Linked DNA regions of Ovis aries. The protein of the gene in region 2 purifies or fractionates together with the protein of the main gene of each other region. This does not show direct contact. Links are inferred from orthologs where the notes say so. Each region holds a gene or a part of one and is shown on either strand. Other genes may lie near its edges. The genes, in order: RPP25L and IBTK.

Evidence for each region.
Region 1: the proteins of IBTK (region 2) and RPP25L purify together in Homo sapiens (co-immunoprecipitation; 3 studies listed by BioGRID and IntAct, with this or other methods). This does not show direct contact. The link is inferred for Ovis aries from reciprocal best matches to the Homo sapiens genes IBTK and RPP25L.

The regions. Positions count from the first base shown.
Region 1 is NC_056055.1:36,953,934-36,958,243, forward strand, and holds RPP25L (ribonuclease P protein subunit p25-like protein), read left to right. Parts: upstream 1-1,384; 5' UTR 1,385-1,427; exon of another isoform or gene 1,428-1,465; intron 1,466-2,178; exon of another isoform or gene 2,179-2,181; 5' UTR 2,182-2,211; coding exon 2,212-2,703; 3' UTR 2,704-3,583; downstream 3,584-4,310. UniProt on the Homo sapiens protein: May be a component of ribonuclease P or MRP.
Region 2 is NC_056061.1:9,383,852-9,388,100, forward strand, and holds the start of IBTK (inhibitor of Bruton tyrosine kinase), read right to left. Parts: upstream 3,082-4,249; 5' UTR 2,908-3,081; intron 1-2,907. UniProt on the Homo sapiens protein: Acts as an inhibitor of BTK tyrosine kinase activity, thereby playing a role in B-cell development. Down-regulates BTK kinase activity, leading to interference with BTK-mediated calcium mobilization and NF-kappa-B-driven transcription.

The DNA.
Region 1 (4,310 bases), on a different chromosome or scaffold from region 2:
AGAGTTGTCCATCTTCCTAGGAGTTGGACCACCAGCTATACTTATCCTAGTCTAGCTTTCTGGGAGATATAGAGCTCTCAGGATGAATGCTCTCATTTGCTTGATGTGAGTGGAACATTTGGTTTTATATCTATTTATCCCACATTTACCAAGTACACTCTAAATGTCAGATGCCATACCAGGTGGGGAGGTCACAGGTAGGGTCCACCTGATCCCTGCCCTGAACAGGATAGCAGGGGAAACAGTCATGGAAAAGGGGAGGGAACCATGTGGCACAAGGGTTCTTTGGGGGCACAGAAGAAAAGGATGTGGCAGGTAGCTCTGGAGAGTGATATGCAGGGTCTTTGAGAACCAAGGGAGCAGCATGTGCAAAGGAGAGGGGAGCCTCTATGTTGCTCTCCTGATGCTATAAGAGAAGGGGAGCCTAAAAGAGGATGCAGAGGGCTTTTGGGCTGGGGCGGGGCGGGGCGGTGCTGTGGCTGGAAAGGAGGGAGAGTTGGCATATTAGCAAAGAAACCGATGGCACCTCACTCCACCAAGTGTTTGCTGTCCCCTTGTGGTCTCCGGGACTGCTGCGGCTCCAGGCCCCTTTACGTCGACCTGCCCGCCACCGTACCGGCGCGGTCTCATTGGCATCTCAAATCCAACAAGTCTGAAACTGAGCCATCCTAGGCTCTTCCCTCCATCCGAAGAGTCGCCAAACCCACCTCGTAGTATCTTCCAACTTAATTTCCTTTTCCCCATTCCCAGTGTTGTTTCTCTGGCTCATTCTTTCAACAAATGCTTTATCAAATATTCGAGCACGTATAGGCAGGGCAACTTACGAAGCACCGCGGACATGCCCCTGGGACGTGCGGCCAGGAGTCACCAGAGGGAGGCCCGAGAGCTGCCCACACGAACAAGTCTGACTTGCGCCTTGATGAAAGCCCCCTGTGGGTCGCCAGTGCCCACAGGGTGAGGCTGAAGTTCAGAACTCGGTGATCTAGGCTCTCGCCCCCGCAGCGGCCACATCACCCGGCACCTCTAGCTCCGGTCCAAAGAGAAACCCGCCACTCTGCCTCTGCTACTGCGGTGTGCTCAGCGGGTAACGCCTGCCCTGAATCTTCTAAGGGCCAAATCCTCCGCATCCTTCCGACGCGGACTTCGGACGCGGGACTCCTCTGCTGGCCGCTCCTCTCCCCCGCAGCGCTCTCTCCGCTCGCAAAGGAATGCTCCTTGCCTGGGGCAGAACAGCAAAGACACCCTGCGTGCAGCGAATCCTCGCGTCCGGGGCCAGCTCACTCCCTGGCGTCCGGAACCTCTCGGTTTGCGAACCCGGCCCCTCAGGCCCCGCCCCGTCCGGCGTGCGCGGCCCCGCGACCTCGGCGCGCTTTCGGCCCGCGCCATCTTGGCTTCAGATCGAGCGTAGGGAGTGCGCGGCCGCGGCGGTGAGAGCCGGAGCCCTGCGGGGCAGGGGCGCCTAGAGGTGCGAGGAGGAGAGGGAAGGCCGGGTGCTGGGCCTCTGCGGTGGCCCGTGGCGGTGGGCACCACGGAGCCCGGCCTCTCGTGGCCCCGACGCCAGGGGTGGCCCGAGCAGTCGTTGGCGTCAAGCCTCTGCTTCCCAGTGTCTGAGGGACCCTCGGTTGAGGGGATCGACCCTGGAATCTCTGGATGAGAGAGGGGTGCCCGACCCTGTCCTCGGGGTCCAGGAGTTGGGGAGAGGATCGTTTCTGTCTTTGAGGAGCTTTTGGATGAAGGCTCATGGCTCCGTTTGGTGGAGCATGGGGTGTGGGGGGCGGGGAGGGGGGAGCTTGGCCCTGACCTCTGGGAGCACGAAGTGAGGCGCCTTTGCCCTGGCGCCCCGTGGAGAGCCCAGGGTGAGGAGCACTCAGCCTTGTGCTTAGGGAGTCTCGGGTGAGGGCCTGGATCCAGTCCCCAGGAGCCCCAGATGAGAAAGGTTCATTCCCAGTGCCAGGGAGCTAGAGATGGAGAGGCTTGGCCGGTGTTCAGGGTCGGTGGAGGGTTATGGCCCTGTCCAGAGGACTGGGGTACATGCCCCCCTAGGGGGAGGCAGGCATGACTCCTTGTCCTGGGGATGAGGGGTTTAAAGTCCCATTTCTGGGAAATCTGGGCGGAGCAGCACCCTCGGGTGGGGGTCGCCTGGGACACAGTGCCCACCATCCTTTGACTTCCCTGCAGCAGGGCAGCAAGGCGGACACGACAGCAGGCTGGATGGAGCACTACCGGAAAGCTGGCTCTGTGGAACTCCCCGCACCTTCCCCGATGCCCCAGCTGCCTCCTGATACCCTGGAGATGCGGGTCCGAGCTGGCAGCAAGATCCGCAACCTCTTGGGCTTGGCGCTGGAGCGGCTGGAGGGCGGCAGCGCTCGCCACGTGGTATTCTCAGGCTCTGGCCGCGCTGCAGGCAAGGCTGTCAGCTGTGCTGAGATTGTCAAACGGCGGGTACCAGGCTTGTACCAGCTTACCAAGCTGCGCTTCCTGCAGACCGAGGACAGCTGGGTGCCTACCTCACCTGACACGGGCCTGGATCCCCTCACGGTCCGCAGCCATGTGCCTGCAGTGTGGGTGCTGCTGAGTCGAGACCCCCTGGACCCCAATGAGTATGGCTACCAGCCCCCTGGGGCACCCCCTGACCTCGGGCCCACACCTGCCTCCAGCTGTGGCCCTCAGCCTAGAAGAAGGGCTCGAGATACCCGGTTCTGAGGACCTGTGGGCAAGCTGTTGTCTAGACTGTCTAGGATGGCTGTACCTTTGAGAAGCCTCTAACTGCTCAAGGTCTCCAACAAAACTTGAGTTTAGGAAAGTGGGCCTCCCTGTCCTGCTTCCCCTTCCCTCTGGCTCCTGGAAAGGGACTCTCGTGAAGAGTGACAGGTGTGGAGTCTCTGCCGGGTTCTAGATTGCTTAAGAAGCAACATCCTAAGTCAATGTGTAGGTCAACTTGCCACAGCATAAATAAAATAAAATATTATGTAGAGAAAGAAGAAGGGTTACTCTGCCTTTTACATACAGTGCCTCTCATCTGTCTTCTGACAGAGATCCAAGGAGTGAGTTAGGAAATAAAGGCTCTGTCTGTCTGATGAACCTCTGCTTGGCCTGCTGTGTGGAAGTAGGGTTAAGGGAGTGGGAGTCCCTGCCCTTGACCGCCAGGAGCTCCCAGTCTGGAGACAGGAAAAGTAGGTTCAGATGGGTGCTGGGAGGATCTGGACTGAAGATGCAGCCTCAAGCAGTAACCTGACTGTCTAGATCCCTGGGTAGCTATCTGCTTCCTGTTTGGGGCTGGTTGAAGGACTCTGCATTTTTCTCCACCTGCAGCATAGAGACATACCTCATTTTGTTGCACGCAGATACTACATTTCTTACAGAAGAAGTGAAGTTCTGTGGCAGACCTGCACTGAACAAGTCTGGCAACACCATTTTTCCAACAGTGTTCATTTCGTGTCTCTGTCACATTTTGGTAATTCTCAAAATATCTCAAACTTTAATTATTATATTTGTTATAGTGATCTATGATGTTACTACTGTAACTTAGTGAAAACTCAAATGATGGTTAGCATTTTTTAGCAATAAAATATTTTAAAATTAAGGTATATATGTAGATTGTTTTTTAGCTATAATTCTGTCACATTCATAATAGACTACAATATAGGGCTTCCCTGGTGGCTAGAGGTTGAAACCTCTGCCTCCAATGTGGGAAACCCGCGTTCAATCCCTGGGTCGGGAAGATCCCCTAGAGAAGGAAATGGTAACCCACTCCAGTATTCTTGCCTGGAGAATCCCATGGACAGAGAAGCCTGGTAGGCTACAGTCCACGGGGTCGCAAAGAGTCAGACACGACTGAGCGACTTCACTTCACTTCTTAGAGTAAACATAACTTTTTTAAGCACTGGGGAACCAATAAACTTCTGTGACTTGCACTATAGAGATCTTCCTTTTATTGAGGTGGTCTGGGACTGCACCCAAATGTCTCTGTGAAGTATGCCTATATTACAATATAGTGGTTGAGATCATGGCCTTGGTCACCAAGCTGTCTGGATTTGAATCCTGGGTCTGCCACTTATTAGGTAGTTACTGCTCTGCGCTTTAGTGTTCTCATCATCCATAGAACAAGATGTAGTGCTTGCCTTGAAGGATTGTTATGAGGATTAAATGTAGAAATATACATATGATTCTTAGATATCACCTGAGCCTGTATACCCTCAGCTCTCCATATCTGTGGATGTAGAACGCGTGGATACAAACAGCTGATTGTACTCCACCTTTTTATTTAAGGGACTTGAGTATTTTGGTGAAAAAAGAAATTCACAGGGGCT
Region 2 (4,249 bases):
TATCTCTCAGGGGGGCTTTGGGGCAGACATTACTTCGTCAATAAAGGTCCATTTAGTCAAGGCTATGGTTTTTCCAGTGGTCATGTATGGATATGAGAGTTGGACTATAAAGAAAGCTGAGTGCCGAAGAATTGATGCTTTTGAACTTTGGTGTTGGAGAAGACACTTGAGAGTCCCTTGGACTGCAAGGAGATCCAACCAGTCCATCCTAAAGAGATGAGTCCTGGGTGTTCATTGGAAGGACTGATGCTGAAGCTGAAACTCCAATACTTTGGCCACCTGATGCGAAGAGCTGACTCATTTGAAAAGACCCTGATGCTGGGAAAGATTGAGGGCAGGAGGAGAAGGGGACAACAAAGGATAAGATGGTTTGGATGGCATCACCGACTCAATGGACATGGGTTTGGGTGAACTCCAGGAGTTGGTGATAGACAGGGAGGCCTAGCAGGCTGTGGTTCATGGGGTCGCAGAGTCGGACATGACTGAGCGACTGAATTGAGCTGAACAATTTCTCCCCTGTGGACAGAAACTCCATAAATACCAGAAACTCCATAAAAGCAGGACAATGGAAGAGTCTGGGCCCTTCCCAGATAAGAAATAAAAGACCGCTTATTCCTCATTCTTGAAGTTAAGGCGACCTTGCGGTCTACACATGAAAGGCTCCTTAGAGGTCAAAAAGGGAGGAGGCATCACCTCACAGTAAGTGATGTCAACTACCCATAAGCCTCTGCACTAGAATCCATCTTGGCTAAGAGATGAGCAGGCACACATGGGAAGTTTCTAAGCTATACTAAATACAGACTCAGAAGCAGGCAAATCAAAATGACTGGCAAAATGAAACCCGGAAGGCCTAAAAAGTAATTCAAACTACCATGAGGGCACAACTCTTTTCTGCCTAATAAATACATGTTTCACTTGGGAAAAAAAAAAAAAAATTGGATTCCTACCATCTAAAACCCTGTTCAAGTAGCTTAATCTCCCTAATCCAAATTTCTTCATCTGTAAAATGATAACAACTTGCCTTATGAGTGGAGACCTTGCCTACAAAGATTTTAAGTTCCTGAAGGGTGGGAAGGGAATGCCATACTAACCTATATTTCCCACAAAATTATAATATGTATTCAACCAGTAGGATTTTTTTTGAAGAGCTCTCTAAAATCAAAATATCCTCCCTAAAGACTTGTATCTATGTTAACTGTTACAAAGCTACAAATTATAGTGACTTATAATCAAAGAATATTTAAAATTTTAAATTCCTTCTGTAAGCCCTGAAAATATTTCACCTAATTTTAAAACATCAAGACTTACTACTTTAGCAAATAATTTACCTTTATCAATACTGTATTTCATTCTAATGTTTTCTCAATTATTCTCTGGGTACAAGAGAAAAAATTCAACACTGTATTAGCACAAAACCCAGTTTCACAATTGAACAATTCCCCAAATTTAAGGGGGCAAGCACATCTCTGGAGATGGCAAAGAATTACCACCCTATTAATGATAATAATAGGTCCCTCCAGTGGTTAAGATTCTGTGCTCCACTGCAAGGGGTACAGGTTTTATCCCTGGTCCTAGTTGGGGAACTAAGATCCCACATGACACAGGACATGACCAAAAGATTAAAAATAATAATAATAAGCTAACTTTGAAATCATTTATAAAAATTAACCAAGTAACACTTAGCTCCTTATGTAATATGGTCTATTGAACTTTATGGTCTTGAAGCATAATGTACAATTTAGCATACTGAGAGCCATGGACACAAGTTTTTAAAAAATTTTTTTAAATAACAGAAGAGCCACTTTTTAAAATTCCTTGAAATAAGCTGCTTTGACTAAATATCTGTACTTTCTGCAAGGATCTATACTATAATTCTTTTTAGAAAGCAGCTCTTTCTGCCCTGTATCAGTTTCTAAAATCCATAAAAATCAAGGAATTCAAATTAGAAAGGGCAGGGACTTCCCTAGTAGTCCAGTGGCTAGGATGCTGGGCTCCCAGTGCAGGGAGTCCAGGTTTCATCACTGGTCAGGGAGGTAGATCCCAGATGCCCCAACTAAGACCAGTGCAGCCAAATAAATAAAAATTAAAAAGTTAAAAAAGGTGGGGGGGGGCAGTGAAAAGATCAAGGATCTATGGCAGGATATGAATTTGGACATCACGGGCATAGAAACACTGGTTCTTTTATCATTTCTGATAAATTTCGACTTTAAAACTCCCTACCTTCCATGCATGGGGGGGGGGGCCCGCAGGGGGGGGGGGGAGGTGTCACATCAATTTCTACTTCCTGACCTGTCTGGTGAACACCCTTTACGTTTTATTACCTACGCTGGAAATACGGATTCACGGAAATCCTGGGTTACTTATTTCGCTGCTGAACTAAAACTTTATTTTTGCTTTTAGAAATCCGCAACATGATACAAGAACAGAAGGCCTCTATCCTGTCTCCTCCATCCCCCAAGAAAAGAACGGGTCCCTTTCACAGAACAGTCGCTTCACTCTGCACTTCATCGTTAGCATCCCCAGAGTGAACCAAAACTTCTGTGACGCGACGAAGGGGCTGAGGGATACGGGCGCCTCGAGGAATGGCTTCACATTCACGCTCGAGGGACAGTGACAGGAGACAACCACCAGAAACGAGCAGCGCGACGTCGCTGGAAGGCGTGGCAGGAGAACCGCTAAGTAGCGCGCTGCCCGCACACACCATTCATTAGCTCGGGGAGGAGGCGGGGAGGTGGCCGCTGGGACCCGGGCCACACGGCCGGCCTCGCGCCGCCTCGCGCGGAGCCCGGCGGCCTCGGCGCCGCCGAGTCCCCTGCCCGCTGTCCCCCGCACCCTGCGGGAAGATCACACCGTCCCGTCGCCTCTGCCCGGCTCCATACGGCCGGGCGCGGCCGAAGCCTCCCTCACCAGTCGCTAGATGAAAATACGCCAGTGGTCTCCGCGGGGTGGGCGCACGGCAGCGCAGGGACTCATCCTCAGTGAAAGCAGCAGGAGAAAGCGAAGGGCGCCAGTGGAAGCCGGTCCCCAGGCCCGGGTCAGCTCTGAAGGCGGCTGCAGCTACAGCCGCGTCTACAGGCGCCTGGAAGGGGGGTGGGAGGTGGGTCCGGGAGGAAAGGCCGGCGCGGGCGGGACCTAGGAATAAGACGGGCGCTGATTGGTTGGGGCTCTTGTATGCCTCTTGAGGATTGGCTAGTGTCTGCTCAGAAGGCCTCGCGTGGCAGCACCGAAACTGTGGCCTTGCCCTGGCGCCCTAAAGGAACTTGACCCCGCCGGCCTTGGGACTGCCAGCGCTGGCGGGTGGGGGTGTGCAGAGGGGGACGGCGGGGTTGGGGAAGGCCGCGGTCGGGGACTCTTAAACCAACGGGGGTGGTGGAAATGTCCGCCTCGCGTCAGCTGTCGCCCAAGGAGAAATCCTGTTCGCCCCCACAGCCGGAGACTTGGCAGCTCACGATAAACCCTGGTGGAGAGACTGAACTTGGGGAACCTGGACGGATCCCTTGGTCATCACGCAACAGAAACCAAAGGCGTAGGCACCCGGCACCTGAGTTTCCTCCCCGACGCCCTACCAGTGGGGTCACTGAAAAGCTCAGGGCGCGGTCTGGCAGAGAGGCAGCATCGCGCCTCCCACACCCAGATGATCCGGGGGCGGGGGGTCACTCCCTGGGTCAGAAGGCGTCAGGGACTTCTTAGATCATGGCTGTGCGGGTCCAGCCGCCGACCCGGCGCCCGCCGGTCACTCTGCCTGACGCCAGGCTGGCTCTATCCTTTTTGCGGCCCTTTAACTCCGCACGGAAGGGCCGTTTTTTAAAACAGTCGCGTGAAAAATGAGGGAGGAAAAGCAAGCAGCCAATAATCGATACTAGGGTAGCGAAAAAGAAACACCCTGCCTGGGAATGCCTAATACTGTAGGGCCCGGTCAGTGTTTGTTCGGGGAGGGCTGGGTGACTCAGAACAAACAACTCGAAGTCAGGAGGTAGCTGTGCGGCTCTGCCACGTGGTCAGTTATACAAGCCATTTAATCTCTCTCATCTGTAAAACGACAGAGTTGGACTAAATGTCTTCTTTGGGACGGCCCATTCAGCTGAACTCATTCAGGAGCCTGCCTTGTGGAAGCCTAAAGACACCCAGCTGGTTAGTGAAGAGAATAACTAGCTCTGTTTTGTCTCTTCGCCCCTTATTCTAGGTGCCCTTCTTTGACAGGTAACAAAAACTAATTTATAATGTAAACATTAAAGTGATTTTGAAAATA